3 linked regions of the Nothobranchius furzeri genome follow. The protein of the gene in region 1 purifies or fractionates together with the protein of each later gene. This does not show direct contact. Links are inferred from orthologs where the notes say so. Each region holds a gene or a part of one and is shown on either strand. Other genes may lie near its edges.

What was found.
Region 2: the proteins of vps45 (region 1) and rabenosyn-5 purify together in Homo sapiens (affinity purification with mass spectrometry; 4 studies listed by BioGRID and IntAct, counting the BioPlex papers as one, with this or other methods). This does not show direct contact. The link is inferred for Nothobranchius furzeri from reciprocal best matches to the Homo sapiens genes VPS45 and RBSN.
Region 3: the proteins of vps45 (region 1) and napab purify together in Homo sapiens (affinity purification with mass spectrometry; 3 studies listed by BioGRID and IntAct, with this or other methods). This does not show direct contact. The link is inferred for Nothobranchius furzeri from reciprocal best matches to the Homo sapiens genes VPS45 and NAPA.

What each region holds. Positions count from the first base shown.
Region 1 is NC_091759.1:9,672,282-9,683,560, reverse strand, and holds the start of vps45 (vacuolar protein sorting-associated protein 45), read right to left. Parts: upstream 7,619-11,279; 5' UTR 7,472-7,618; coding exon 7,379-7,471; intron 6,804-7,378; coding exon 6,669-6,803; intron 6,591-6,668; coding exon 6,530-6,590; intron 6,443-6,529; coding exon 6,363-6,442; intron 6,249-6,362; coding exon 6,180-6,248; intron 4,872-6,179; coding exon 4,734-4,871; intron 3,124-4,733; coding exon 3,013-3,123; intron 73-3,012; coding exon 1-72. Other genes in the region: pogza (pogo transposable element with ZNF domain), read left to right, coding at 8,887-8,895, 10,281-10,383, 10,564-10,700, 10,789-10,849, 10,996-11,199, 11,274-11,279. UniProt on the Homo sapiens protein: May play a role in vesicle-mediated protein trafficking from the Golgi stack through the trans-Golgi network.
Region 2 is NC_091755.1:54,605,561-54,614,995, forward strand, and holds the end of rabenosyn-5, read left to right. Parts: intron 1-276; 5' UTR 277-381; coding exon 382-541; intron 542-1,590; coding exon 1,591-1,725; intron 1,726-1,869; coding exon 1,870-1,970; intron 1,971-2,041; coding exon 2,042-2,087; intron 2,088-2,182; coding exon 2,183-2,344; intron 2,345-2,442; coding exon 2,443-2,690; intron 2,691-2,802; coding exon 2,803-2,873; intron 2,874-2,959; coding exon 2,960-3,046; intron 3,047-3,137; coding exon 3,138-3,240; intron 3,241-4,557; coding exon 4,558-4,662; intron 4,663-4,739; coding exon 4,740-5,819; 3' UTR 5,820-6,589; downstream 6,590-9,435. Other genes in the region: mrps25 (small ribosomal subunit protein mS25), read right to left, coding at 7,698-7,887, 7,980-8,067, 8,142-8,248, 8,489-8,622. UniProt on the Homo sapiens protein: Rab4/Rab5 effector protein acting in early endocytic membrane fusion and membrane trafficking of recycling endosomes. Required for endosome fusion either homotypically or with clathrin coated vesicles.
Region 3 is NC_091753.1:46,786,664-46,797,861, reverse strand, and holds napab (N-ethylmaleimide-sensitive factor attachment protein, alpha b), read right to left. Parts: upstream 5,969-11,198; 5' UTR 5,844-5,968; coding exon 5,746-5,843; intron 5,075-5,745; coding exon 4,800-5,074; intron 3,657-4,799; coding exon 3,610-3,656; intron 3,514-3,609; coding exon 3,436-3,513; intron 3,338-3,435; coding exon 3,282-3,337; intron 2,701-3,281; coding exon 2,616-2,700; intron 2,536-2,615; coding exon 2,431-2,535; intron 2,353-2,430; coding exon 2,284-2,352; intron 1,739-2,283; coding exon 1,688-1,738; intron 1,358-1,687; coding exon 1,256-1,357; 3' UTR 690-1,255; downstream 1-689. Other genes in the region: bicra (BRD4-interacting chromatin-remodeling complex-associated protein), read left to right, coding at 8,908-8,948, 9,061-9,106, 9,568-9,633, 9,847-11,198. UniProt on the Homo sapiens protein: Required for vesicular transport between the endoplasmic reticulum and the Golgi apparatus. Together with GNA12 promotes CDH5 localization to plasma membrane.

The sequences.
Region 1 (11,279 bases):
TGGGACTCTGGACAAGTCGATCCGGTTGTTGTTCAGACCCAGCAGCTCATGGACCATCGCTTGGTACGTCCACTGTAACACACACCGACATCTGATTAGAGAAGGAGCTGCAGATGGTACCAGACAGTGTTGGGAAAGTTCGTTTAAAAAACTAACTAGTTCATAGTTAGGTTCATACGTTTTAAAACGAACTAGTTTGTTTCTTAGTTCATAGTTTAACAAATTTTGAACTAAGTTCACTGTTCTAAAAACAAACTAGTTCATAGTTCTTTTTCTCGTATAAATAACTTATGAAATACTTTTCCAATAGTTCAGTCCACACTCATACCCAGCTGCAGGTTTTACCCTACAGTATATCCTCAATAACACAAGGAAAACATTATTTGAACAGTCTTAAGAACCAGGCTGAGGTAGCAAACTCAAAGTGCAACATTAAAAGTGCAAAACATTAAAAAATTAATAATCTTTCAGTTAAGTCCTGTTTAAATTTTTCTGAATGAACTTCGACTCCTGCACACAGCATAGACATAGAAGAGTAGACGCTGCACCAACCGCTACTGCCTATGTTTGGCCGCATTTGCGGGTTCTACTTTTTATAAACTAACAGGATGTTTTAGCTAGGCTTTAGCTCTGGAAAAGCTCCGTGGAGATCTGGAGCTAGAACGGTGAAAGAACGCGTTCAAAAACCTGTTCACGCACGCCAGGACGAACGCACTCACTTTTACGTTCGTCAGGCAAAATACGAAAGAGTTCAGTTCACGTTTACGAAAAAACAAACAAATTCACGAACGATCGTTCAATGAACACATTCGGGCACAACACTGGTACCAGAACTGTTTTATGTTCAGATTATTTTAAGTCCAGGATTAAAGGTGCATTATGTAGAAGTGAAGTAAAAACTACATTCTGTGGCAAAATTTGGTTACTGCAACCACTTAAAACACCTCTGGAGCTTACTGCCATCCCTCATCAAATCACAACCATCGGCGCTGCAGTACTAGCTCGCAGGAGACACGACAACCCCACACTCACTGATAGTAAACAGTTGCGTCCCTCCTTCCTTTGTTTTGAAAGGAGAAAAACTGACAATCCCTGCAGGCAGCTGGATATGAAATATGTTCCAGTAAAATCTTCCTTCCAAAATGACTGAAACATCAGACTCTTTGGATTTTCTCACAGTAAAATTCTCACTACATTCTTACATAATGCACCTTTAAAATTAATACACTGTACATGAGAGGAAAGAGAGACAGCAAAACCTAGATTTCAGATTTACAGTTTAAACAAACGGATCTTACTTCATTATTTGTTTATTATCGTTACTTTTTTCATTGTATTATTGTGGTTTAAGCAATAACTTGCAAAAATATCATGGAAAACACTAAAAGACAATTAATGCTTAATCTAGATCTCCAACTGGGTGTGAAAAAATAACACACACACACACACACACACACACACACACACACACACACACACACACACACACATACATATACATACATATATATATATATATATATATATATATATATATATATATATGTATGTATATGTATGTGTGTGTGTGTGTGATATGTGTGTGTGTGTGTGTGTGTATTAGGGGCTGCATGACTTAATTTTTTTAAGTCGAGTCAAGTAATGAAAATCGAGTCGACTTTGACTAGTCGTTGATGACGTCACACACCTGAAGGGGTGGGGTGGGGGGTTTGCTGGAGTTTTTGACAATTAAAATTGCGCCCATATTTTCAAAGTTAAACACATTTCTTTTAACAGCGGTAGTTTCTGCTTCAGCCCTCTCCCCCTCCCCCTGCGCAGAGGCCGCAAACTCACTAATGCGCCTGCAGCCTCTCAGAGTTCCTGCTGCTCTAAACATTAAAATAAGTATTTCCTTTTCTGTTCCTTGTTGCAACCACAAGGTACAAAAACTAACTTGTTTTTATTTGACTTTTTCTGTCCTGTCTGTTTATTATCTTCCTGCATCTCCTCTCAGTCCTAAAGAAAAACTGCTACCTGGGTTCATATATATTCACCTTATGAGTTACCTTTGAACTGCAGTTCTAAAAGATCTACCGATCGCAAAAACAGCAGAGTGCTCGCCGGCCGCGTCAGTTAGGTGCGTCACCGGAGGACAAAACAGGTGATGTGCCCCGATCCACAGCAGCCAATCAGGCACAAATAAAAGACAGAAAACATAAAAGGAAATGTGGCGACATGAACGATCGCGTGTTAAATTTGTTTTTGAGGTGGCGACACCTAATTTGATAATGTTACTGTGGCCGTGCTCAGGACGCAGATGTCTGGAGCGAGTCAACGATCAGAGCTTTGCATGTGCAAGCTGGTTAAGGTTAGGATGGGGGTGAGGGGAAGGTTAAATTGCAAGAGGGTAAAGGTCACAATTTGGTTAAATGTCCGTTTTATCGCGGGTGTCAGTACCGACGCTCTGGCACAGCGCGTCGCCTCCGCCTCCCGACGCGCAGGGGCTCATCACCTGCTGTCTCGCTTATTATCACATGACAGTGACTAGTCGATGACAGGCATAAAAAGTCACTACAGAGCAGTGAAGTCGACTAGTTCATACAACCCCTAGTGTGTATACACACACACACATATACATATGTATATATATATATATACATACATATATATATATATATACATATATATATGTGTGTGTGTGTATATGTGTCTATTAAAACAATTGATAACTGTAAAAGAAATAAGAAAAAATGCTTATAAAATATATTGAAATTATTAAAAACTTGCTGATATTAGAGAAATTATACTTCAAATCCTAAATTTTTCATAAAAGTATGAAAAAATAGTTCATTTAAAATACTACTACTGCTAGTACTACTAATACTAATGATAATAATAATCTTACAAATATAACATTTTAATTCAAAACAAATTTTCTAAACAAATTTTTTTAAATGCTTTAATCTTAAAAGTTTATTACTAAATAAACTATAGTTAAATCCAGGGTTTACAGCTTGATTTCTGGTTGATCACCTGGTTGAGCAGCGGTGTGATGGCGTCGTCGCTTCGGTCGAGAATCAGCAGGAGAGGAGGAACTTCAGTCTTCCTGAAGTCGAACAGCTCATATTCCTTCGTTATGATTTGCTGGGAAGAGAATAAGCAGCAACATGCCAAACTAACATGATCTATCTTTAAAATTATTTAAAAGCATTAATAAATATACTTCAAGCTTCTACAATAAACAAAATTATAATCCATGAGATTGTTTTACACATAAATTGTGCTACATTCGTGTTTTTTAAAATCTACTTGTTTTAAAGAAAAAAAGCTGTTAAAATCTAAAGAATGAAGCACTAGGACCAAACATTTCCCTCTGAAATAAGGTTCAAATGCCACCGAGGTGAACTGCCTTGTTCCAGTTTCAAAGAAAACTCGCCCATAAGTCAATGACGACTACAGACCGGTTGCCCTGACATTCCACATCATGAAGGTCCTGGGGAGACTCCTGTTGGTCCACCTGAATAAGCGAACTAGAACAAACCAGGACCCGCTGCAGTTTGCTTATCGTCATGGAGTTGGAGTTGAAGATGCCATCATCCAGCTGCTTCAACCAACCCACTGTCATCTGGACAAAGCAGGCAGCACTGTGAGGGTCATGTTCTTTGATTTCTCCAGTGCATTTAACACAATCCAGCCTGATGTACTTTGCCAGAAACTCCAGAAGACACAGGTGGGGGCCTCAACTATCGCCTGGATTAAAGACTACCTGACAAACAGACCACAGTTTGTGAGGCTGAAGAACTGCACATCAAACCAGGCGATCAGTAACATTGGAGCACCACAGGGGACTGTACCCTCACCATTCCTTTTCACCCTGTACACCTCAGACTTCCAGTACAAATCAGAGACCTGTCATCTACAGAAATACTCAGATGACTCTGCAGTTGTCGGGTGTATCAGAGATGGACAGGAAGCTGAGTACAGAGAGCTGGTGGAGCGCTTTGTGGCATGGTGTGGAAACAATCACCTGACCTTGAACGTGAACAAAACAAAGGAGATGATTTTAGACTTCAGAAGAAACAGGGTGGAGTCAAACACTGTTTCCATCATGGGAGAAGAAGTGGAGGTGGTTGAGGAATACAAATACCTCAGAGTTCACCTGGACAACAGACTGGACTGGAGAAAGAACAGCGAAGCCGTTTACAAGAAGGGACACAGCAGACTGCACTTCTTGAGGACGCGTAGGTCCTTCAGTGTCTGTAGCAAGATGCTGCAGATCTTCTACAAGTCTGTTGTTGAGAGTGTAATCTCTTCAGCCATCGTCTGTTGGGGTAGTAGCATCAGAAGCAGGGACCTGAAAAGGCTCAACAGCCTAATAAAAAAGGCTGGTTCTGTTCTGGGGACGACTGTGGAACCGCTGGAGGAGATAATGCAAAGAAGGATTCTCCAGAGAATCAAGAAAATGATGGACAACCCTGAACATTCTCTTCACAAGACTGTCCGACAACGGAAGAGTGTCTTCAGTCAGAGGCTTCTTCAGTTTCACTGCAACACTGACCGCTACTGGAGATCCTTCCTGCCAACAGCCATTGTAATATACAACAACTCTTTGATGACTTCATTATTATTATTATTCTGAGCTACTACAGCAATCAATTTCCCTCGGGGATTAATAAAGTATTTTGAATTGAATTTGAATTGAAAAGCAAACGTTACAGGATGTGTGTTAGTGGGAGTGTTGTTGTCATGGAAACCTTGACGGTCTCTGCGAGACGTTTGGACATGTCTGAGGACAGCTGGTAGCGGATCATTGGACATTTCTTTAGAGCAAGCAGGACGGAGGTCAGACCCTGAGTGCAGCGAGACAACATGGTGGGTTCCCAGCTCCGCCCCTAAAACATACAAACAAACACACATAAGCTCAGACGCATCCAGATGTGCTGCACACCAGTCGACCTTCACATGCCACAAATGTTCCAGAAGAAGCTAAATCAACATGTCACCAGCTGAAAAAGGCCACAGATGTGGTGTGTGTCAAAATAAAATGAAAAATAGCAGGACTCAAGCTGCCTAAACTATGTTTATGTATTTAGCAGACGCTTTTGTCCAAAGCGACTTACAAGTGATAATCGGCATGTTGCCCTTGAGGCTAACAACAACAATAACATCAACAACTTGACATCAATCATGGAGAGGAGGGAACAAAGGAGTGGACAGTAGAAAGGGGGACAGGTGCAGGGAAGGTGCTAGTTTAGAAGATGCTCTCTGAAGAGCAACAAACTAAACATCACACTACTTCTGATAGTTTGCATTCTGCACAAAGTGCATTATGGTGCAGTTTTAATGATGCACTTGGATCTGGCAAATCCAGATCATGTAAACAAAACCCATTTACTTCAATCTAAAAGCGTAAAATCTTGGTGTAATCATGAGCAGAGACCTCCATTTCCATGAACGTATTAAATCGATAGTGAAGTCATCATTTTGTCATCTTAAAAACAGCTAAAGTCTGTGACTTTGTGTCCCATCAAGATCTTGAAAAACATACATTCCTTTATCTCCTGCAGGGTTGATTACTGTAATGCTCTTCTCATCAGATTCCTAAAAAGTCCATTAGACAGCTTCAGCTCATTTAGCTGCCAGCGTTCTAACCAGAACTAAGAAAAGGAGCTGCATGGTGGTGCAGTGGTTAGCACTGTTGCCTCGCAGCAGGAAGGTTGCAGGTTCGAAACTCAGCTGCGGCCTTTCTGCGTGGAGTTGCGTGTTCTCCCCATGCATGCGTGGGTTTCCTCCGGGTGCTACGGTTTCCCTCACAGATCACAACATGCCCTATAGGTTATAAATTGTAAGCTGCTTTGGATAAAAGTGTCTGCTAAATAAATAAACATAAACACAAAAGGGATCACTTTACACCAAGTCTCAGGACCGTGCATTAGCTTCCAGTTCAGTAGAGAATTGATTTCAAAGCAGTATGAATTCTGTACAAGTCATTAAATGGGCCGGGCCCTAGTCACATCTCTGAAAACTATGATGTATAATCCTGGTGGGTCCCTTCGATCTGCAGATCTCCATATCCTTCAGCTGTCAAGCACCTACTGCATCAGTGTGGATGAGGGCGTGCAGAGCATTTATTTATTTGTTTTTACTGTCAGGCAGAAAGTGTAAATCATCAGTAAACTTAGTTCCTCCATCTTTCTTACCCTGGCGACTCCCTGCAGGTTGAGGGAGAATAGGTGAGGATTCACGGCAATGAAGTCTCCATAAAACTCCTGCAGAAACACACACCCCCCCACACACATATTTACACACAAACATAAAAGCTCTTGGTGTTGTATCAACATTAACAAAACAGGAAGCTAGTTTGTTTAGCACCTGAAACTCACCTGGACTTCAGCCACCACCTCCTGTTCATCAGCTTCAGCCAGAGCCTTGATCTCACTCTTACTGATCACGTTACTAAAATCTGAATTAAAAACACAGCGGTCAGCTGGTTTGATCAAATAAAACACGAAACTAGACAGTTGACATCAATGTTACTGCAGTGACATACAGATGAAGTAGACACTGTATTTTGGCTTCCTTAGTTCCTGGATCAGGTGCTCCACATTCTCCTGCAGGAAACATAAATAAAATATGAATATTATCATCAATGTGACTTTTACACAGAAGTAAGCTGCAGATTTTAGTACCTTTGTGGGACGAAGGAAGCAAATGGCTTTGAGGTGTTTCATGCTGTCTCTGTTCTGAGAGTCAATGCGTTCAAACAGGTAAACCTCCTTCTGCAGGATCTCAGACTGGGTGTACACCACACTCACTATACTGGTCTGAATACACACATGGGAAATATTTACTTTCATTCTAACTGATTTGGTGCATTTCTTACAAATACAAAATATTAGTTAAGGAAGAATATTTTAAACATATACACTGATCAATACCGAACAAATGAACACCAGTAATCATTGATGGGGTTTTTTTTGTGCCGATCATCAAAAAACTCTGAGAAAATAAGAGTTTCAGCAGCGTATGGATTAGTATTTGACTCCAACTGCTTCTTGGCTTTTAACTTTAGCTGCTAAAATAAAACCAAAATGTTTTCTGTCATCTTTTAAAATTTTGATTTATTACTGATTACTAAAAAATGTCTTGTGTTATCTTTTCATTGCCTTAAAATCTGCAACTGGTGCATGAACCGTTTGATATTTGGGATCCAAAACTTGTAAAAACAAATAAGATATGGGTTCCTATGAAACGGTCAAAACAGTTACGAACACATAGCACAACTGTAACTACCACATGCAGCATTTCACTGTAACACACGCAGTATGAAGAAGTGCGACAAGGTGTTTTGTTCTACAAATAAATAAAAATAATCTATGTTTAACTTCCGGCGTCTCACCGTCTCCTTGTCCATGAGCAGAACCTTCATCCCAGGCCCGCTGTTCTCGATCATTTTAGAAATATACTGCTTCACCGCGAGCGTCAAGTTCATGATAGCAACGCAGTGACACAACTATAATAAAAACCAAACAACTCAAATGGCAAAATCAGCTGTAGAATATTTTCTAAACTCTGTCGAGAAGATTTTAGTCTGTATCCTTTCATCTACAGAGATGTATCTCTTGTGACAACACTTCTGCGAGCCTTTTCCGGGTTTCTGACGTATAAGCGTCGTATGTACGTACGTCACGTGACCACACGTTTCTCCTTTTTTTGCATTCATAAAATGTTTACAAATAGCTGAAAAGTTGAGTTTTAATGACAAACAGAAAATATAGTGATTTCAAAGTACATTTCTCATTCAAGTGGCAGTAATACAGTAATAATGGATTTTAATTAATCGTGGTAAAGTGTATGTGTTAAAATTGCAAGTCACATGCTAGCTCTTGCTAACAAGGTTTTAGATACTTATTGACAGTAGGAAGGCAGTTTAGGCAACAGTTTTATTCAGCTTCAAGTCAAGCAAGCCCAAATGACATTAAACAAGCAAAACTGATAAAGACATTTTATTTTCTTTTTTATCTCCTTTTTTTAAACTTGATTTTTTTAAAGCTAGCTGACCATCTGTTCACTAGTTATAACTAGCAGCTGACAAAATAGCTGGTATACTATTCCGTACTTTGTGAAAAGAATTTCTGCTTTGCTATTGTTGAAATAAACTGTCTGTGTCCATTTAAAATATACTAATTTTAATTAGTGCAATTTTGTGTTTTTTTTTTGCAATCCCTAAAGCTATTTGCTGAAGCTAATCTGAGTTAGCGTCGGTTAGCATCCACAGTAGTTCTCCTTCAAATAGTAGCTTGAAAATGTTCTGTCAGAATTGACATATCGCATTGAGGCTGCTTGTATTTTTTATTTATTAGCAAATGTACAGTGATAAGAAAGAAAATGCAGTTTCATTTTTATTCTTGTGTTTATTGTTCAGTAACTAAACTCTCAGGGCTGCTCCATCTCTGCGAGTTCATATCACTCCGCGCTAATATAGTGCCAATACAGAACAGTGGTAACAGTAGCGCGAATGCGGATTGCGGAGGGATACGGAAGCCCTCGCAGATGTGATTTTGTTGCATGGTGACCGCTCACATTGTGTTTAGGAAACATTTTCATTCTTTAGTTTTATAATTTCTAAGTTTTATGATTGGAATTTTAACGGAATCAACATCTACTTATCATACTTAAGGACAGGAGAAGGTAAGCGCACAAGAGACATTCTTTTTTAAACGTACATCGTGCAGAGTTTATAAAGTCAAAGATTTAGCTGCTAGGCTAGTTAACATGCTAGCACTGCAAGCTAATTTCCAAACTGGAAGAGGGGGAGGGAGGCGCTACGGGGACATGATCGTGCGTGCAGAAATACCTCTGTTAAAAAAAATTATAGCAGCTTTTTAAGTGCTTGTTTGGATAATTATGCAACAAGTAAGAGTTAAGTTAATAATTGTTAGCATTGATTATTTCTGTAATTGGGAGGTTTTACCTGTTCTAGAACTTTAGATTGCTAGCTTTGCATGCTAAGTGTTTTAGCTTAGTGGGTCAGTTAGAAGATCAATTCTTAAGTTTGGAGAACTTTAAAGACCCTGTGTAATTCCTGTTACGACCACAATGTATCAAATTGAAAACTAAATGTATAAAATATGACTGAAGTTTCACAGAATTCAAACAATAATAGCATTAAACTAGCGAGAACAGTCAAATTCAATGAAGATGATGGGTGTGAACTTTTGAAGATTATCTTTGCAGCAGCACCGAGTAGCGCCAGTTAATTTTGCAATGTTATATTAAAATGTGGGAATATACAGATTTATTAAGTTACATCTTTTTTCTTCAGTTAAATATTTATACGCGCTATAGTTAGCATTTAGTGCAAGATTTAACTTTTTTATAGAAAGTAATTTCTTATGGTTTTGTACTATTGACCTCAGAAAAATCATAGTTTTATGAAACATATACCAACTAATAAATAATTTAAGTTGGGATTTGGCTTTTTAAACCAATGAAATTATGAAAATGGATATTCATACCACATCCCCAGGGTGAAAACAGATTTTGCACAAGGTTATTTATCAAAAATTGACCAATAAAAGCCACAGCTGTACCTTTTTTCCATATAAGACTCATAGTTTGTTGTGTTATCCTAATATAAATATGCAGGAGTGATCTAAAAACTATGTTTAAACACTATTTATGTAATCTAATGGTATAATTTATATTTAAATAAAGTAGTTATTTTTATTTATTATTTTTGTGCAATTTAATTTTTTAACTTAAAAAAACCTGCCCCTTTTATTATTTTACACATGTCCCAGTTTATATGAACAGGAAAAATAATTAAGTGATTCCTTTAGGTCATGGTGTCACAGATTTGTAGGAAAGAATGACTTTTATTTACCATAATATTATTGCCTACTTGTTTCATGCTAACCTAGACAATACTTTTTATTTTCTTATCATTTAGAGAATGTAAACATCTCTCATAATTATTCACATCACTCAGCTTCTTACTCAGTTGTCTTTTTATTTAGCTCCTATTTGTTCCATCCTAAGGCTGCTAATATCTCCAATTTGTAATACTTTAAAATGTTATTACATAGTAGTTGCTATGAAAACTGTCATGATGTTATCTTTAGTGGTTTAGTACATTTTAATAGTAGTGATTTAAACCAGTTAATTATGTCTCTTAATATTTTTAGACACTTGTAGTCACAGAAAGCACATCAGCTTTACATCCTGCCTATAATTAACGTTCTGCATGCTTTTTGTTTTGTTTTGTTTTCTTGGCTGGTGTGGACTTGGTGAAAACGGAGGCAGAAGTAGAAGGTGGCCTTCTGATGGAGTGTGTTGAACAGGAACAGGAGGTCCCTGCTTCACCTGAGAGGCATGAAGCAATAATGGAGAAACCCAATATCGGTGAGAGTTCAGGGGTCACACGTGTGACAGAAGACCTAATCAGAAACAAACTGATGACCAAGATGTCAGTTGGATAAATGTTTGGGTTTAACTAATTATTATAGTTTTATAATCGTAATATAGAATTATAATGTTATATTTGGAGGCAGCTGAAAGAAGCTCTTGTTTATCTGTGTGCAGTGTTTTGGAATATCTTTGATCTGAAGGAGGAAGACACAGGTCCAAGCAAACTTCCAGAAGCCAGGATCATTCCCATCCCAAACCAGGAAATGACCAACGGCATGCCCCCCACATCCACCAAGACTGCTTTTGATTATGTAATTAATTATTTCAGTCTGTAACAACTTGCTCCACGTTTCTCTGGTAGATTTTAAACAGTCGTATGAACCCACCTGATGTTTTCAGTTCGCAGTTCCTACTTTGGGCTTCAAGGTCAACGGGCGACTGGCTTCCCTCAAACCTGGAGGTCAGTCTGCACTTCTTCAATGTGATGCACGTAGAAAAAGACATTAGGATTTTATTTTAGCCGTAAAAAATGAGGATTATATGTCTGAAAGCTTTTAACTGAACACACCCAAAAAGTGTCTGTAAAGGCCTCTGTGTGTCCTGCAGGTGACGTTGCACAGTTTAAGCTTCGTTGTAACCCTGGAGGTTCAGCTAGTGGCTTCACTACCATCCAGATCCCCGCCACCGTGACCCTCCACAGTTCTGAGGGCGTTTCCACCAAAGCGTTCCAGTCTGATGGTGCAACCTCCTTCATCAAGACTCCTAAATTTGTTCCCAAGCCAAGCCCTGAGCCCATCCCTGTGATCACAGGTGCTTACCACTGTCATCTTAAAGCTTAAAAAACATCAGATGCTTCTAAAACTAAACTAGACTGTCTCATTCAGGTGTGG
Region 2 (9,435 bases), on another chromosome or scaffold:
ATTAATGCTAATGTTTCATTGTGCAGCTGCATGAGTTTTCTTCAGAGCAGAAAGTGGACATTTTCTGTTCCGTCGTGACCTAAAGGTGCTCAAATAAATTGGATCTCTATTGTAAATTTCACTCTAACCCCAGGATCTGGTTTAACTTGGTATACTCACCAAATCACACAGTTTATTGCAGTTAAATCTATAAATTGAGGTTATGCTTGGAAATTATTGTGTATTTAGTCTGTTTGATTCGGTGTCTATATTCATCAGGTAGTTTTTCCCCTACAGTTGTTATGGAGTCGATTAGATTTACTTTGAACACCTTGTGACATGTTGGCCCAAGGAGGATCATGCCACCTCACCTCCTGAACAACAGAACATCCTTCTGTCATCATGGCCTCCAGCTACCCACCTCCTTTAGAGGGCACCGGTGAAGTAAAGGAGGGCTTTATTTGCCCTCTGTGCTTTAAAGACCTTCAGTCATTCTACCAACTCCAAGGACACTATGATGAGCACTCGGGGGACGATGGTCATGTTCGAGGACAGCTCAAAAGTAAGTCCTGACCTGTGTCAGTCATAATCAGATTATAGTTCATTTGTAACCCATGAAAATTTTAGATATGAATCACCTTGGATTTATTGGCATAGTTTTTGGGAGGGGTCCAGCTGCATAAATAATTAAAAAGCTGCTAAATTACTTTTTAAAGTTGAACTACAATACCATACTGCAAAGATCAGTTCTAAGATAGTAAATAGTTTTTTCTTATTTTCAGAAGAATCAGGTAAATTGACTCACCGTTACTTTGTAATATTTATGTAAAACTAATCTAAGCTCCAGTCAGTCACTCGTCATCTTACTGCTGGATCTTGCATTGGAGGATTTGGTTTCTGGCTTTCACTTGACAAAGTTCCTGTTTTATTCTCATATTTGTGTGACTAAAATTGAAGTTTCCATTCATCCCCTCTGTCAGGGGCGTGTCCAGGGAGTGGCCTGGGGTAGCACATGCCACCCTTGGAATCTGATTGGCCACCCCAGGTGCCACCACACTATTTAACCTTTAAATAGGCTTTTCATTGTCCACAAATGGCTTGGGGGTAAAACAAAGAAAGCATAACCATTGGTGCCACCCATGCACAAAGCTGTGCCTCACCTGGGCCACCCCATTTTAAAAGATCTGGACACGCCACTGTCCTCTGTACTTTTCACAATTTGCCATTAGTGCAGAGCACTTACCTCTGTGTGAATTAGACAATGCCTTTAGTTGTTGGATAGGTTTCTTTTCTTATTGAAATCAGCCTTTAAAAACCAGAAGTGTTTAAGTGTAACGTGTGCAGTGGTGTTACTACTGAACATGAGCAGAATGACGTTTTATCTACAGGTCAAGGTGAGTTGTGCATAAACGTTGGTTCATAAAGGTTCCACATGCATGCTGGGTTAGTGTTTAGGATTTAGAAAATCAGTGCATGTTCCTGTGTTTAACACATTCCCTCTGATTTTTCATTTGTTTGTGTGTGTGTGTGTGTGTGTGTGTGTGTGTGTGTGTGTGTGTGTGTGTGTGTGTGTGTGTGTGTGTGTGTGTGTGTGTGTGTGTGTGTATTTAGGTTTGGTTCAGAAAGCAAAGAAAGCCAAAGATAAGCTGCTGAAGAGGGATGGAGATGACAGACCGGACACCGGCAGTTATGAGTCCTTCTACTACGGCGGAGTGGACCCATATATGTGGGAACCTCAGGAACTGGGTGAACAGGACTTAAATCCTCTTTTATTTGTTTGGGCTTTTCACATCCAATCACACTTTATTAGTAAAATCATTCAGATGTAAATGCCAGGAAGAACAAACTTTATTTTTACACATTGTGTTTATTTATTTATTTTTCTTATAGGAGCAAGAAGGAGTCACCTGGAGTTTTTTAAGAAGCACCGAGCAGCCCGGATAGACCATTATGTCATTGAAGTCAACAAGCTCATCATCAGACTGGAAAAGGTGTGCTTGAACCACAATGTTCCTCCTGAAATAAGTTTAAACAACCATTAACCTTAAATTTGACGTTTCAGTTGACAGCGTTTGATAGAACCAGCTCAGACTCTGCTAAAATCAGAGGTTTGTATATTTTTTGTTATAACTCAGTTAAATCTTACCGTGTGGATGCTTTTTATAATATGTCACAAATCATATTGTGTTAACTTTCTCTGTAGCCATTGAGAAATCTGTAGTGCCCTGGGTGAATGACTCAGACGTCCCTTTCTGTCCCGACTGTGGAAACAAGTTCAACATCCGGAACCGGCGCCACCACTGTCGCCTTTGTGGATCCATCATGTGCAGAAGGTGCATGGAGTTCGTCCCTCTACCTTTGGCTCGTATGTATCAACATCTTAGAAATCAAAGAAATCCAAACGCAGGAGCAGAAGCTCGTTGCTCAGTGCTGCTATTTCCTTCTTTTGTTTTTATTTATCAGAGAAGCTCATTAATGGGACCCGAGAGGCCCTGTGTGTTCCTGGAAGTCCCAGCCAGACTCAGTATCAGCCAGCAGGAATGGGCTCCAGGAGGGGCAGCATCAGCAGTTTGAGCAGCGTTGCTTCTATTCTGGAGGAGAAGGACGATGAGAAGATCCGCTGCTGTCACCACTGCATGGACACGCTGCTGAAGAGACAGCAGAAGTTGGATGAGAAGGATCACGTTCCAGATGTAGTGAAACTTTATGAGGTTGGTCTAACAGTCCCAGAAAACTTCCCTTCAGCTACAGTTCTGTTCTTTTTGTTTACACTGCTGTATCCTTCCTGCCACTTCCTGTTTACTTTCTGGGCTTTCCTGCCAGAGACTCAGGATGTGCATGGAGAAGGTGGAAGAAAAAGCTCCAGAGTATATTCGAATGGCTGAGTCTCTCAAGTAGGCACTATTAAAAAGTATTGATGTAACCATTTCACATTTGTTTTCATTTTAATCTGACAATGTTTTACTTCTTCCTGCCAAAGTGCCGGAGAAACCACCTACAATCTTGACACGGCAGGTGGACTGAGGCTGGAAGTCCAGAAGTACTATGAACTAATTGATGCTCTAAGGTACACATACGCTGTCACTAATACTTCAAAGTGAAACACAGCTGTCTAAGTTTAAGAGTTCAACAGAAATCTTTGGTTTTAATTTCCCCAGCAAGAAGATTTTAACACTAGGAGTTAAAAACAACCCACCGTCGCCCCCGAAAGCACTCCAGCTTCAGAGGATGATACGATACATGGCAACACTCTTTGTCCAGGTGAGACCAAGTGAAGACAGTTGATGGCTTAAACACAAAAAAGCCAAACTGAAGTTTTAGCCAAAGAGGACATGTAAGAGCTGGGAATCGTGGCTTAGTTCAGAAGTTTATCAAAATGTGTTTGATATGTTTGATACAATCTGCCAACCCAATGGATTTGTAGCTACCATCTGGGAAAATGGAGCAAAAGTCCAGTTATGTCAGTAATCCAACTTATGTTTATGTATTTAGCAGACGCTTTTGTCCAAAGCGACTTACAAGTGATAATCGGCATTTTGCCTTGAGGCTAACAACAATAACAACAACAACATTGACATCAGTCATGGAGAGTAGGGAACAAAGGAGTGGACAGTAGAGAGGGGGAACGGGTGCAGGCAAGGTGCTAGTTAAGAAGATGCTCTCTGAAGAGCAGGGTCTTCAGGAGTTTCTTGAAAATTGAAAAGGAAGCCCCTGTTCTGGTAGTGCTTGGAAGGTCATTCCACATTTGTGGAACGATGCATGAGAAGAGTGGATTGTCCTGAGCGTGGTGTAGGCACTGCTAGCCGACGACCCTGTGATGACCGGAGCGGCCGGGCCGAGACGTAAGCCTTTGCAAGAGGATTCAGGTAGATGGGAGCCGTACATCTCGGACTTTGTATGCTAGTGTTAGCAATTTGAATTTGATGCGTGCTGCTAGCGGTAGCCAGTGGAGCTCAATGAACAGAGGGGTGACGTGTGCTCTTTTGGCTGATTGAAGACCACACATGCCACTGCGTTCTGGACCATTTGAAGAGGTCTCACAGTACAGCCTGGAAGACCAGTTAGACTGAAAGACCATCTAAAGGCTCAGGAACCCTTTGCATGTATTTTGGATTCATTAGATGATTAGAGTGTGACACTCTGAGTCTAGAATATTGACTCTTTTTGACTTTTCACATTATTTTAATCATCTGAGATGTTGAATGTGTAGTTTTCATAAGCTGCACTCCATTATCACCATAGTTACAACAAATAAAGGCTGAAATATCTGGATTTGCATGTAAGGAGTCTATCCCACTTATTAAATAAATAAATTAACTTTTGCACCGTATTCTAATTTTTGGAGTTTCGCCGGTATGTGTCAGACCCTCCAGGATGCCCCCAGATGCTCTCTAACCAAAGGGGCATTGTTAAGTTGAAATCAGTTAGATAGTTTTACCTGTAATCGGCTCAGTGCTAGGTAAGTGGGTTGGATGTCTTTGCTAGTTATTGTGGGGTTGTGAAAGATCTGCCTCACATGTAGTAGAAGTGAGGATTATTAGAACTTTTGTTCCCTTTTTTGTGTCTTCTCTGTTTTAGGAGAAGCTGCTGGGCCTGATGTCTTTACCCACTAAAGAGAAGTACGAAGAGCTGAAAGACAAGAGGAAGCAAGAGCAAGAAAGGAGGCTCCAGCTAGAGCGACTGGTGAGAATAAGTTCCAGTCTGATGTTTTTTCGCTGGACAAACTCGTTTCTAAATCTGGACTTTTATCTCTTGCTCAGCAGGGAGCTCAGGAGTCTCTAAAGAGGAGACAGGAGTCTGAGAAAAACCGTCCACCAGCCAATGGGGAGCTGCTACGGGCCCCTCGAGAACCACGCATGACTAAAGCTGGTGGTTGGTTACCTTCTGCAGACTCCGTCCATGTAGGTAGTGACCTGGAAGACCCCCTCCTCCAGCAGATTGCAAACATTGAATCATTCCTTAATCAGGCGCGTGAAGCCCAAAGAGCAGACGAGGTCGCCATGCTGGAAGAGAACTTACGGCAGCTGCACGATGAGTATGACCAGCAACAGACCCGTCTCGCTATTGAACTTTCTAAGAAGCAGGCTAAGGAGGAGAGCTTACAGCAGGAGGAGCTCCAGCGTCTGGAGGCCCTGGAGAGAGTGCAGTGGGGCTCCAGGTTCAGCACCCAGCTGTCCTCCACCTGTCCATCTCTGGACATCAGCCCAGCAGCAGGTTACCAGGGTGAGCAGGACACCACAGGGGTCCTGATTAGTAAAGCCGATGGAAGTCCATCAGCTGTAAGGGCATGCTCCTCTCTTACAACCCAAGAGGAATCCCCTCCAAGATTAAGGAGTTTAGGAGGCCATGTAACGCCCCCTAGCAGTGAAGGCCAGAGCAACACCTCCCTTAACCCATTTGAAGAGGAGGACTCTACTCCCATTGAGGAAGATCCATCTAATCCTTTCTTTGAGGACATCCAGAGGGAATACAAAGGAGTAACCAACGGGAAGAAGGAAAACAACCCATTTGATGAAGATGCAGACACGGTGGAGGACCAGCAGGTTGAGGCTGTACCCACAAACCCTTTTGAGGAGGATGACACCGACGCCGGTAACCCCTTCATGGAGGCCTCTGGAAATTCTCCTGAGGTGTCGACCAACCCCTTCGATGTGGACGAGGATGAGGTTTTGCCCGACGTGGACATGATTGAGGAGGAACTGCTGCTGCAGCAGATCAACAACATTAGAGCTTACATCTTTGATGCCAAGCTGAGCGGCCGTCTTGATGAGGTCGAGCTCTTGTCAAAGAATCTGAAAGAGCTGCTGCACACTTTACAGGAACAGAAGAAGAAGCACTGATGCATTTTAGCCCCCGATCACCTGCTACTTAACAAGTCCCATAAGGCTAATCACTTTACACAACTAGCAACCCTGCTAAGCAAGGCTAGTCGGGCAGCCTGATTAAAGGGATAGTTATTTGTTTGGGGAGGCTGTGTGGAGTGTTTATGAGCTGTTGGTGTACTAGCTGCAGTAGAGTTGTTATAGCACATTTTCATTGTGTTGGCCAAACCAAAATAATTAATGCTCAGAAGGAGAAAAGGGTTTTTGCTGTGTACAATAACACTAAACTAAAAAAAATCTCATTGGTTCAAGCAAATGTTTACACAGCAGCCCTTTGATCCATCTCAGCTTGTGCTTAGAGCAGACTGCTTGTATTTTACAAACCCCAATAAAAACAGGAATCCCTTTAATCATGTGAATAAATAAGTATTAGACTTACTAGCTGGATTTAGTCACCAAACACTTCTGTGTCCAGCTGGAGTCCACCGCTGCACTCGTGCGAAGCTCTGAACAGATCATTTGTTCAGGCATGAAGACATGCACACAATAGTAACAGCGGTGCAAAGGTGAACAAGTCTTTGGTCTCTGATTGGTCAGAACATGATTTAGCTTTCTAATAAAAGCTGTGAACAAAATGTTACCATTGCTGCAGCATTAAAATCTAGCCGTTCTAACAGGGTAAAGAACAAAATGTCTCCTTTTTTCATCAAAACAATATGCCGACTTTAATTTCAGCATTTTGGCATCCCGCTGGTCAGAGGAAATTAAAATCAAAGGTCCGTCTTACAGCAATGAGTCATTTCAGTGTAGAATAGTCATTTTAAGTTTTCTAATGCTGTTAATAAGTAAATGTAAATATAATAGCTGAGATCAAGTATTTGCCCAATAACAGCTGTTAAAATCTGCCACCGTACATTTATTAATGTTAAACTGAATCCAGATGTTGTTCAGTAACAGTATCCGTGTTTGTATCCTGAGCTGATTTTTATTGCACTTCATCTCTGACACGAGTCAAAGAAAACTGCATTTGAGTTTCCACAAAAAGCCGAGTGTGACAAAACTGTTTTCCGTGTTCGTCTGTTCCGTCTGGGAGTTGGTGGCTGGACTCGCGAGGATCTGCGCTGTCAAAATCCTGTTTGTGATGCATTTTTCTGTTCAGCTCAGTTTGTTTAAGCGGCAAACACTAGGCAGTGGATACTGTTGTCAGGACACCAGACGGCTGTAATTGAGGAGTAAAATATGTAAAAATCCTGAAATCCTGCTGTGTACAGAAAAGGGACATACTTGTCCTGATCAAATAAACCGTTAGATCCAAACAGTTCAGACTCTTATTTTAATCAGCTGACTCACGCTAAATAAACACTAGCTGGAGTCATCATCCAGCTGCTAAATGTGCCCTAAAACAGTTTATTGTGCTTTCTGTCAGGATGTTTATGCTTCTGTTCAAACCATGTTTGGTTTCTTCATCTGTAAAGATTAAGCATTTTTAATTTTGTAACGGTTAGACGCTGATTTCACACCTCTGCTTTTAACAAAAGAGACAAACCCATTTTATTAACGCAAAACATTTCCATCGCAGTGTTGATTAAAAAACATTAATAAAATATGGTGACCGTTGTCGCTAACTACTGTGGGCAGCAGGGATCAGCCATGTTTCAGCCTGTCTTGCACATGCTCAGTAGGATCAGGACCAGAAAGGTTGGGAGGCCAAGATAACAACGAGCACTTGAGTCTTTTATCTGAGCAGTTTTTCCTGCAATGAGGGTATGTTTGGGTATTTACAGAAGCCGGTCGTGGGTTCGGTGGGCTTCTGCTGCTTTAGGCTGGAGCTGAATAACAGTCTGTTGTTGAAATGCAAAATAAACAGAAAATATTTTCCAGTAAAACTCCAGCTTCTCACTCCTGTGCCTCTGCCATCCGAGCCCGATATTTTCCCGTCATCTCCTTAGGCAGTGGCTTGATGCTGGGACACGGTACTTGGCCCTCCACTTCACAGATGCACTCCCTCAGACAGTACTTCTTTGGGCCAAAGTTGGCGGGGTTGGAGGCCTGCATCTTGGCCTGAGTTTCAGATTCTAACACTTCACTGTTGAGCAAAGACAAAGAGATTAAGAAACAGAAATGAAACAATTTTAGAGGTTTAAAAATGATCTGAACCAACACCACCCACAAACTTACTCTGATTTGCCCAGGATTTTTTTAATATGTTGTGAAATCTGCTTGTAGTCCTTCCCTTCCACGTCCACCAGTACTTGTTCTCCATCATCTGGATTCAGAGGAACAGGAAATCAACTCAAAAGGACTAAGGCTTCATTCTATCAGATCACACGTGGTACTCACCCAGATAAAACCTCAAGAACGGGGATGGTGTCATGTTTTTAAACATCATTATTTGGACCGACGGGTTTTTGTACTGGATCTGGGGAATATTGAAGAAAACAAACTTTCTGCAAAAACAAGAAGAAAAGATCAAAAGCGGATCACGTTTGACACTAAAGCATGAATGAAAACAGTACATTTTTAATAAAAATGTGCCCAGGCTGCCGTGCCACTAATTGTTTAATAATATTTATAATAATAATTAAATACGTTTCGCTAAAACGTTGCTCTAAGTGACTAAATACTTCTAAGAGACAAAGACTGCTACAGTCCTAGTATTTCCATGGGATGTAGTAGTTTTCTCTGACCTTGCTCCTTCGCTTAGCTCTCCGGAAGTGTTGTAATTCACCGTCATGATCTTCACCTTGTTTTTAAAGATGACGTCACCCTTCTTGAGATACTCAAGCGTCCGTCTGATCGGAAACTTTCCTTTCATAGGCATCCTAAAGCTTTATTCTTTAACAAAATATCCACGAATGTCTTACGCCTCTCTCAATCAGACAAGCAAGCACGCCAAGTTGACGCAAAATGATGACGTTTTAGCCACTGCAACCCGGAAGTGGTGGGAACTGTAGTTTATTTACGGGCGCGTAACAGTTAGGCGTAAAGATTTAGAAGATTAGAGGTTTCATCTCTTTCTACATCTCCACCTACCAGTACCTATGTGCAACATAAACACGTTTACCACAGGACGTTATGTTTGTTTTTATTTATTTAAAAAAACACGTTTCTATTAATCAATTACATTTTTATGGAGATTTTTATCTTTTGTCGAAACACTAGAATAAAATACATGTAAAGTCATCATTTAAAGTCTTGTCAGTAATACACAGAATTTTATATCGTTAATTGAAAGTGCCCTTTTTATAGCGTAAAAGCCAGCCAGCTGACTTAAAAAGGTTTTTTTTAGAAAACAGGAAACGTTCTACAGATATTTATAAGAAATGTTTTTAATGAAGCATGAACATCAGTCTTGTTATATTTAATGAACAGCGGTTTATTTAGTTTAAAACAGATGGCTTTGGGAATGCTGACACAAGAGCTCATTTATTAAAACATTTGATTCATACATGAGGTAGAAATGTAGGGTTGTTACCAACGAATGTTGTTTGAAATCTCAATTTAAACATTTGCAGACACACATCTCTATAAACAGAACACGTTTACAGTATAAAAACATTGATCAAACCCACAAAGGAAAATATCGATGTGTGAGCTGCTCTTGGTAAATATTTTAAAGCCACAACATTTAAAT
Region 3 (11,198 bases), on another chromosome or scaffold:
GTTTAGATCTGGTGTTTTTTTTTCTTTAGACAATTCAGACCTTTTAAAATGAGCTTTCTGCGTTATAAATATTTTTACCTGCCTTTGTAACAACCTAAGTTCGGAGAAACAGATTTTGCTCCAAATAGAAGCAAACAAGATTTTATTTAAATTCTATATCATTTGGTAATTTACAGGAAAACTTCAGTAGCAGCAGTGCTTCTTGTACAAAATGCCCATTTGTGGCCAGAATAATCATATATTCCAAAAAATAATCAAATCAAAGCCGTGTTAGTTTATAAAACAATTTCCTGTAAATTGCTTTAAAATTGGACTTATTTTTAGATGTGAAGTCAGTTTTAAAAAGTCATGGATAACACAGAAACCCACTAAAGAAGTCTAAACCACCCCTGCTGTATTTTTTCAGACCACATGAGTTTTATCAGCCTGTTATACATGAAACAGAAAACAGTACAAAAAAAATAAAACTTCTGCATTTGAGTCCTTATTCATTCCAAACCATGCAAACAATGACCAAAAACATGCCTTTGTTTTATTCTCTGGAATAAAAGCATTTTAAATCGAGGTGAAATCCGATGCAAGTGAATTTTTTAAGTTGGGAGTCAAATCTTGCCATTCACATCCTGAGAGCAGTTTAAGGCAGAGAGGGTGTTAGCTGTGAAATAACCTTTTAATTTTATTCTCCGTGCAGCTTAAAGGAAGTTCTGTTTAATTAGAAGCACTGTGAGGTCCAAACAGAACCAAATTCCCAAATATATCAGCTTCAGGTGGCTCTTTTCTTTATTCTAAAGAATATTCTTCAAAATATATTTATTTATTTATTAGATCAAACTGTTAGTATGCTTGTGTTCTCTCATCCATCACTTAACAATGAAACAAAAATATAATCTGTATCATACAAGGATGCTGGTATGAGTATTTGGTATTGCATTGCAGTTGTAAATACCGGTAGGACCATCATTGGGTTAATTAACACCTGTAGCAAAACAACATACAACTAACATACGGTGTGTGTGGAAAGCACACCCAGGGGCATAGTGTTCACACATATGATGCAAAGAATTTTTTTGGGAACAGTAAGTTGAATAAAAGGCAGGAAAATAAATACTGCAAACGGTGTGAAAGAAACAGAACCAGAGGCTCATAATATGAAGAATGCTGCAGGAACGTAAGCAAGAAGCTGAAGGCAGAAATGAGGATGCATGTTTGTTATTGTTGTTGCTGTTGGGAGCATTAGGGGAAACTGGGAGGCGAGTCAGCGGAGGTCACTCTCGTCGTCCTGTATGGTCTTCTTGATGCGTAGAAGCATGGTGGTGAGCCACTGGTCCAACCGAGAAATGGTGTCGAACTCCTTCACCTGTAAACATCCACAAAAATCTTCTAACTCAGAAAAGTCTTGTTTACTTGCATGAAAAAAAAACCTGTCCAACACCAGGAAGCAGAAACTTCCACTCCACTTATTTACGCATCGGTTGTTGGTTGCTACAGAACCGCAGAACACCTGTCTGACATAAATCAAAAGTTTGATGAAACCAAATTTTTGTAAATCTTAAAGATCTCGGAATGGTGGGATTGTTAATCTGCACTGATGAGTTTATTTTTGTAGAACAGTTTTTTTAACCCTTTCATTTGGCACTACGTTTTACTTCTGCTGTAAAAATCAACAGGAAATAACTTTTGCACTCACTGAATCGGTATAGGCCTCCACGTTCTGCTCTTCGTACGCGTCCAACAGTTTCTGGTTTTTAGAGAAAAACAAAAGATGTATTTTAAAACGCAAGGCTGCAACAAAAGGACCGATCACATACAAACATAAAGGTACACACACAATACAGTGGTGCCTTTAAACGAAAACAGTTCTTACTGAAAACTACCAAAAAATCTGAGTAAAAAGAAGCAGAAAACCTGTGAAAAGTATCACACAAATCAAGATAATTTCTCTGTAGAGAACAAAAGTACATGCAGTTTCCAAAAACAAACAATGCATTATTGATAATCCTGCACTTCCCCATCGGGCAAACACCCTCTGGCTAATGTAAGAGCCCCTGCCCCCACACACATCTGAATAACAGTTGGTGGTCCCACCCATAAGTTTCAAATGGAAAACCTCAATTAGAAATACGCGAAATTCTTTTTTGCCATTTCCAAATAAAATACAGCAATCTCTTTTATTGGGTCTGTGATGTTTGTAAGATCTCTGGACTCAGGAATTAAGAGGTACTTTTCATTTTTAAGGCCACAGGGATCCCAAATGACGATTCTACTGACAAGAACTCCACAAACCTTCAGCAGCTTGCACTCTCTGGAGTCTGAAAAGGCTGGAAACATTTCCTCATACTTCTGCACAGCAAGCTGGGCGACAGCAGGATGAATATCAAAACATGATCTCATGTCACATCAGCTCAACGCCAGACGCACTCTAATGTGTACCTTTGCGTTCAGCATGTCTACGCAGAAGTGACACAGCGCCGCCTTGAAGAAGTGATCCTTGGCGCTGTACTTCAGAAGTGTGCTGTCCATTGCATAGGTGCCAACCTAAAACGCAAAACCTGTCAGAGATTGTTGTGTAACTGGAGCCTCTGGGGCAACAGGTGGTTTAAAAATCATCATCTCACCTGCTCATAGATCTCTATAGCCTTTGGGTACTGTTCCAGCTGAGCTGCATATGTCGCTACTTTCAGAAGGCACTTGTTGGCTGAACTGATATAAAAGAGAAATAAATAAATAAACCAAGGTGTGAAATTTAAATTATAGTATCAACATTTGCTAAATCTTTATACATTTTTGTTTCAGGTCTATTTAAAGGGATACTAGGCAACTTTTTGGTATTTTTAAATAATTTTCTTGAGTCATTATTTGCTAAAATGACCCTTAACAGGGTTAATGAAATGTCACTCAGACCCCCACCGTCCTCTGTGGTCAGAATACCGCATTTGCAACTTCAGAGTGCCAGTCCGGGGGGAAAAGGTGAGCCGACATACCTGATGCTGCAGTCTGGTTCTAGCATGCTTCCTGCATGTTTTAGATCATGAACACAGCTAAACTGTTTAGTTTATTGATGAATTTTGTGTCCTGTAGACACTAATGAAGGCTGGGGAGACATTTCAGCTGTTAGATCAAGGTGTTAAAAAGAAAAACGCACAGCAAGTAGATAGGTTTTGTTTTTGTTTCTACTAATTGGGCACTAGGGGGTGCTAAAAGCAAGCCAAAACTGCCTAGTCTCCCTTTAAACCCAAAAGTGGACAGAAGTATTGCTCAGATGTGTTACGTCAAATATTTACCTGGTGGATTCTTCGCCTTTGTAATAATCTGCTGCTTGTTCATAATGAGCAACAGCCTGAAACACCACCACCCCCGAAAAAAAAAAATTCAAATGACCATGTAAACATTTGATCAAATATAAACAACGTGATAACCATCAGCTGTGTCTCTGACCTTGTCGATGTCCACCAACTCCGTCTCATAAATCTCAGCGATGGTGATGTGGTGTTTAGCAGCGATGGTGAAACGACCCTAAAATTACACAGGAGCAAGGACGAAACAAAATTAAAAACACAAATCAATAAAACTATAATAGCTTAGGAGGGGGATTTGTATTAAAAACCTCACCATATCCGTGTATATTTCAATAGCTCGGTTTAGGCAGTTTATGGCCTCTGTTGAGAGAAAAACATCAGTTCAGTGAATGACAAGAAATAAGTAAAAGGAAATTTCTTTCCACTGCAGAAAACAGACTTTAGACAAAGTTCACTCATTTTCTCAATACATCTGCAGTGATCTCTAGAATGCATGAATGGCTTGTGAAACAACATCTCATGCTCCTGTTTCAGGAAGCAGAAGTGAGCAGAATTCCTGATGTTCGGACATCTCACCTCTGATTGACTAACATTAACACAACTCTACCACTGACTGTTCTGCAACACTGATATGTTATCTCCTCAAATAACACAAGCCTAAAGGAGTTCTGCTATGTTGTGGAGTTGCTCATGCTAACAGTTAGTGTCTACTAGCTCTGCTCTTTTCTGGGTGCTAAACCAACAACAGCCTTCCCCCGTCGTGAGCCAAGATGGGCGAGTCCATGAATGTTAATTCACAGCTTGATGTAGAGCTGACTGTACTTTCTAACTCAAACATTTCCCCATCTATTTTCTATGGGCGACTAATGCAGGAAATATGGGTAGAAGACTTTTTTCACGTTCAGCCTGTACACAAAACTCAGAGCTTCCAATCATATTTACATAATAATAAGTAAAAAAAAGTTTCTCAGTGAACTTGGTCTTTAAATGCACTTCTGTAGGAAACATTTACCCTAAACATCAGAATCAGGCTTACCCAGAAACTTCTGCACAGGTTGAGGAGTTTAACATTTCTGACTGCTCAAGAATTCCTGGTATTTGTCTTTGACGTTTCATCTTACTTATATCACATTTAGTTTTGAGTTGTGCCACCTGCACAGGCACAAATAAACTGCTGCAAACAGGCATTGATGTTGTTCAAAATCTGCATGTATAAAAACTACCCTTAGTTTTAAAAATAAAGAGTCTCGATCAGGGGTAAGTCTATAGAAGACAGCTAAATTTCAGACACACAAGATGCTTGGAACTAAGCTAGTATGGGGTAAACTAAAGACTGTAGATAAGTGTACACAGTCATGGGATCAAACTTGCTGCCAAACCAGGTATTAATTAGATTGGCTGCACTTTATATGAAGTTAATTTTAAAAAGTCCAAAAATGTATTTCCTTCCAGATTTTAAAACCTTTTACAAAGAGCTCCATGTAAAATTGAGTGACCTCTTACCTTGTGGATCTGCTTTTTTGAAGGCATTTCCAGCATCTATGAGATTAGTTGCTGCATCGTGTTTACTCTGCATTTGCAGGTGAAGATGAGCAGCCTGAGCAAACGCATTTCCTGCAGCTGAAAAGAAAACACAAATTAAAAGATAAAACATATCAACAGATATGCACAAGGAAGGGAAAGTAACTGTCCTCTTACCACACCAGTTTTTGGCCATTTTGTACATGTTGGCTGCCCTCACATACAGATCACAGGCCTCTTCCAGCTTGGAGGAGCTCCTGTGTGAAAGAAAAAACGTGTAAAAAAACAACAACTATAAGATACTGGTTATTAGCAGGTTAGGATCGTGTAAATGCAATAAACAAGACTGGATAATAAGTAATTACTTTTCAAAATAAAAATAGTAGATAGTATTTCATCTGTTGAGATTGTTGTCCAATAATGACAATATTTCCGCACCAACATTTTTATGGCAAAAGGCAAATATCAATAAATAATTTTCATTAGATTTGATACAACTTTGAGGTTTCTACTGTAAACATTGTGACGATTTGCACAATACGGAACAGCCAGCAGATGGTGCTACAGCAGAGCTAATGTGATCACACTTTTTAAAAAAATATTTTTTTACAGTCATACTTAAATAAAAACGAATTTAGTATTCTGTTATCGTCCATGTCAAACAACGGTTTGTTCAGTGTAATTTTTCTCAGTTTACTGGGATAAACGGCTACGTGTTAGTCTTTGTTGTTTGCAGACGTTATGGTCAGCAGAAATCCGGGGAAATAACCTTACGTCCGTAGACAAATACTCTCAATACCACAACATCTTAACAGCAGCTCCAGTCCTGTTGTGCCCAGCCATCAGCCCTGGTGTTAGGTGGTCACCTTCCGCATAGCTGGCCCTCAGCTTGAAAGCAGAAGCTAAACATCAGCTAACTAAAACTCACCCAAACAGCGACCCGAAAAACGACTGAGATGATTTAACTTTCTTCTCCGCCTCCGCCATTAAAGCTGTAGCTTCTTTTTCTTTCCCACTGTTATCCATTCTGCTTTACTTGTTTTTCTGAATCTAAAGGGGGGCGAAAAAATACTAAAGTCAACAAAGTTGCTAAGTATTGCTAACAGCAGTGTCACATCAGCAGCCAGCGCTTTCTCTGTCACGTGACAATGGGAGGGCGGTCACAGCCCTGCTGCCTTCAGGTGCTGCTCGTACGGTCCAGAGTTGGTCCATTACAAATCTATAATGTTTCATGTTATAAACTGATTGTAGACCATGCTGCAACACAATATATCAATCGATAATTTAATTAAGAAACATGTTCGTTGTTAATATTTGCTGTAGAAACAAAGGAATCGCTTCTAATCTGTCTCAGGATCATTACAGTGCGTTCATGACAATCTATATAAAACAGTTCCCTTGTGTTATCTGTTTTCAACAGCCAATTATTTTTCTATAAGCAATCAGACATTAAAGGTGACAATATTTAAGCATAAATGTTGTAATAAAACGTAATAGCGTAAATATCTTCAAAAGTGCAGTTTTAAAGGAATATTGATTAGAATTATAATAAGAAAATGCTTTCCTTTAGTCAATGCCAGTTCCATTATAAAGAGACATTTTTAATCAAAATGGGTTAGCATCATAATGAAACTGTTTGTCAGCTGAAATCTTTACAATTTTAACATAAATAATAGATAACAACTATGTTAAGTGGTTTTCCAGGCTTTGCATTATAGCACAGTGAATTAAATGTGTGTAAAATATTTTGTTGAAAAATACATGACAAACATATTTTAGGGCTATGGGTTGTGGTAGGTAACTACATGAGTCAAACATTCAAATACCTTTTTAAAATTTACAAAAATAATCACGTATTTTAGAACTATACAAAAATTATTTAAAATATGGAAAAGGAATGTTTTCTTGTAGATTATGTTACAGTATTTTGCTTAGGCTTTTTGTAGATTAGTTTGTTCTTTTCTTAGCCAAAATCATATAATCTGATTGCAGTTCAAGACTGGGTTGCATTTATCTAACAAATCTGCTGGCATTTGTTAACATGACTGCTTTTATATTTTTTTACATTTGTGATCCAGTTTCTTTTATGATTTCATTTTAAGCAATTTCTCCCCACAGGCTTCCTCTGCTGTTCCTGCCTTTCTATTGATGTTTTTTGAGTTTTAAAAATGAAAACAAGTTAACATGAAGAATATGTCAAATTTAAGAATGCACTAATTAACACAACAAAAATGTTCAAAAACCGTTTAATGTTCCGAATGGGTATTTGTGTGTAAAGAAAGTCTCGATAAACAACATGGATTTCAATCAGGCAGAGCGGAAGTCTGCCGTTTCCTGCCAGTAGTTGGGTCCTGTTGAGCAGCCCGTGCGAGGCTGTCCTGGAGACCCCGCGCTGCCTGCACCTCTAACGTCTCGGGTGAGTTTGTTACAATGTAACAATTTCTCCATTAATCCCAATATCCGCTACAAAGCTGCGATATCTGCTAACTGTTCAGCAGACACGAACCGCACTGCTACCGCAAAAGAAGCGACACACTGCCGCATCACACCGTAAACAGGCTCGTTTTCCAACGAATTCCCAAGCATACCCCCTCTCATCCAAGAGTATTCCAACATTTACTGATATTCTGCTTGCAATTAGCAATAGCTCGCCACGTAGTTGCGTTTACGACTATAAGCAGACAGCATTTCTTCGTTTTAGCTCAACCGGACTGCCGCTGTGCGTAATTTGTGTTAAAATTGTGTCACTCTGGTTTGTTTTGAATGTCAAAGGCTCGAGCTAGCTATACGTCTGAATATTGTTGATAGCGGGGGTAGCTTGCTAGGCTAACGAAAGTCAACCCAAAAGCACCCAAATTGCTGAAATTACGGATGAAACTGTTTTAATTTCAAACATTTGAGTCGTAGGTCAGCTGTGTTGCTGTCAGATACTGTACGTTGGGGGAATTTGTTGAGGTATGCATGCAAAGCTCATTAAAAACATCAGCTAGCATCTAGCATTCCGTTTGCAGCGTCTCCATTCATATCCTGCGCACTGGTTTTCTGTAACCGAGCTGCGATCGGCGGACAGCTGGGACTCCTGCATCATGTCCACAATTTATTTGCATAGAAACTGTGTTGGTTTGGTTTTCGTGTTGTTGGACGAGCTGTGCACGGTTAAAAGTCAGCGACAGCTTACGCTCAAAATCTTTCCAGGCGGTGCGAAAACCGCGCGTTTTCAGTTTGTTGTCTGCTGTTTGATCGTGTTCAGAAATTTTAAGTTTTGTTACGTGTCTCGATGAGTTCAGGGCCGCACCAAGGTTGTTTGATACCGAGCGTACATGGGGAAAAATCTCGCTTTGTAATTGATATTGATAATCAAACGCTAGGTTAGACAGTTTTCGTTTTTTAGGAACTCAGAATTACTTTCTATGTTGATTCATAGTTTTTAATATAAACTAAATGCCTGATAGCATTGAGTGGTCTTTAAGATTTTTTTCCAAAGAAAAAATTTGTGTATAAAGTATATGAATACATTTTTTCATTGTTTTGAACGTTTCTTGCTGTCAAACATTTATTCATAAGTCAGAAAGAGTTTGTTGCTGGCCTATGGAGACTTCTCATAGCTTTTTACCATCAGGGAGGAAATAAAAAAACCTATGTCTAAAGGGAAAGACTCACTTCCACTAAAGAACTCTTTCTTCAAAAGAAGACACAGATGATTACTGAATAATTACCCGGATGTTTTTGGGGTGTGTGCCATGCCATCTCTTACTGCAAAAAACTGCCACTTAACAATATTTGTAATTATTCGCTTGGATTGTTTAAATGCCTGTATCGGTGGCTCAAGACTTTTTGAAAGTCAGTCTTTATCTTGCATCTACATGTCTTTAATGGCTCGAGTTTTGCTGGAGTAAATATGAAAATGTCGTTTAAAATTTAGTCAGCATGTGGTTTGAGAAAGTCAAGAATAATTATGAAGTTAAACCTAAGACAAACCCCATGTAATTCTTAATAACCATGTTATACAAAATGTAACTGAGTATTTTGGTTGTGATTGTTGAACAAGTCATGACCGAGCTTGAAGGTGTTTTTCATCTCAACAGTTGTCATGGATGATGAAGACGGCAGGTGCCTTCTAGATGTAATTTGGTAAGTATGTTCTGACAGCGTGAAAGACCTGATTCTAGTATTGTAGGAAATTTTATATCAGATTGTTCGGTTATGTGTCATTGTGTCACACATCTGTTGTTTTCTCCATCAGCGACCCAGAAGCTCTTAATGACTTTCTTCATGGATCTGAGACCCATGTAAGTATGAGAAGGGCTAACAAATGGCCGCATTTAGCAAAGCTTCACGATACAAGTTCTCCACTGATGAGTGACTTGTTCAGGTTTTATCTTTGTTGCTTTTGCATCTCTAATAAAATCAGTTTCGGCTCACAAGTTGATACACCCTGTAACCTGCATCCCTCACTGCTCTCATTAAACTTTTTATAACTCCTCTGCCTAATGGTTGCATTTGGGTTGCCAGAACAATAATTCCTATTACTAACGTTTCCCAACTCTTGAGTTATTCCTGTCATTTTGTTCCTCTGTAGCTTATCTCTTTACTGATGCTTTACGTTCTGGGTTCTCTGAACCATGTTCTGCCCTTGCCTTGCCCTCCCTCTGTTTTGATGGTCTGTATGTTTGTCCTGGTGACTTTTTTGCCTGCTGGTTTGGGTGTCTTTGGTTTCTGTCTGTCTTACCCTTGGTGGGTGTGTCTGTAGTTGGACACTGACGACCTTTTGGATGGTTCGAGTGACCCCTCCAGCTCGTTCTTCTCTGCCACTGGGGTGAGTAAAGCCCCCCACTTTTTTTTCCTGCTGTTGTCCATCCATCTTTGTTGCATGCTTCCCTAAATCCCTCCCTTTTCCACTAACAGATCTACAGTCAACATGCTATAATTCGCTGCAATTGTACGAGATGTTTTATTGGGCTTTTGTTTTTGTTTCCAATCAGTCATGTTCCTCGCTATCATGTCTGGTTTCACTTTTTCTTTTTTAAAGGGACATGTTCCAGAGGTCCAGCCTGCAGTCCAGCTGTCGGCCAGCGAATCAGCAGGCCTGCCGAGAGTCAGCGTTGACCTGGACTTCCTTGAGGATGATGACATCTTGGGTGGATCTCCAGGTGGAGAAGGTGGTAGCAATGGCATTGGGACAAATCACGAGACATGCGACATCTTGCAGCAGAGTTTGGCTGAGGCCAACATCACAGAGCAAAGCCTGCAGGAGGCAGGTGCCGAGCTGGACCTGGATACCTTTGGAATTCCAGGCCTTGCACAGGTGGTTCAGGCACTGCCTGATGCCAGCCTCGCTGGAGCTGGAGGCACACCTGTTGGTGTAGGCATTGGCGTCGGTGGAGCTGCGACGATTTTTCCCGGGTCTGCCCCGAGCACCACGGCTACTCCCCCCAACGCCACAGCTGACATGCTTGGTTCAGTGCTCGCTCAGCAGGGCCTTCAGCTCCAGTCCCAGGTTATGAACAAAGCTATTAGCGTTCAGCCATTTATGCAGCCTGTGGGCCTGGGAAACGTGACTCTTCAGCCCATTTCAAGTCTCCAGGCTCTCTCCAACGGGAGTCAGTCGGGACATTTGGGTATCGGACAGATTCAGGTTGTGGGCCAGCCTACCGTGATGACTATCAATCAGTCTGGGCAGCCAGTCTTGGCTAAAGCCATGAGTGGATACCAGCTGCACCAGTCAGGTTCGGAGGTATCAGCTGCTGGTTCTCAGGCAGGACTTGGAGCCTCGGGAGGTGGACTTCTAATCCAAGGCAACAAAGCGACTTTGGGATCTCCAGCTTTAAATGGACCGGCTGTTTGTGTCAGCAGCACAAGCAGCAGCGGTAGTGGTACCATTACCGCTCCCGCTGGGCTTGTCGGCTTTGGAAGTACCCCTCTGAGTGCAGGGGTGGCACCACAAACGCAAAATCCGGGCCAGATCATGCAGAACGTGATCATCCAGCGTACACCAACACCCATTCAGCCCAAACCCGCACAGGGGGGAGCCATTCATAGTAAACTCTTCAAACCACAACAACAGTCGCAGCCCCAACAAGCAGCTCCCCAGGCCATGCAAAATGATGCCCATAAGGCTCTTGGGCTTCAACAAATTCCAGTTTCTGCTGCTCAGAATGTGGCCTTCCTAACAGGAAAACCAGGTTCTAATGTTGTGTTGAGCACTCGGGCTGCAACACAGGGCCCCCAGTTCCAACAAACTCTATTCAAGCAACATGCTGCACAGCCGTCCGGCAAACCCCTCAGTGTGCATTTGTTAAACCAACAAGGCAGCATCGTTATTCCCTCTCAAACGGTTCTCCAAGGTCAGAACCACCAGTTCCTCCTGCCCCAGCTACAGGC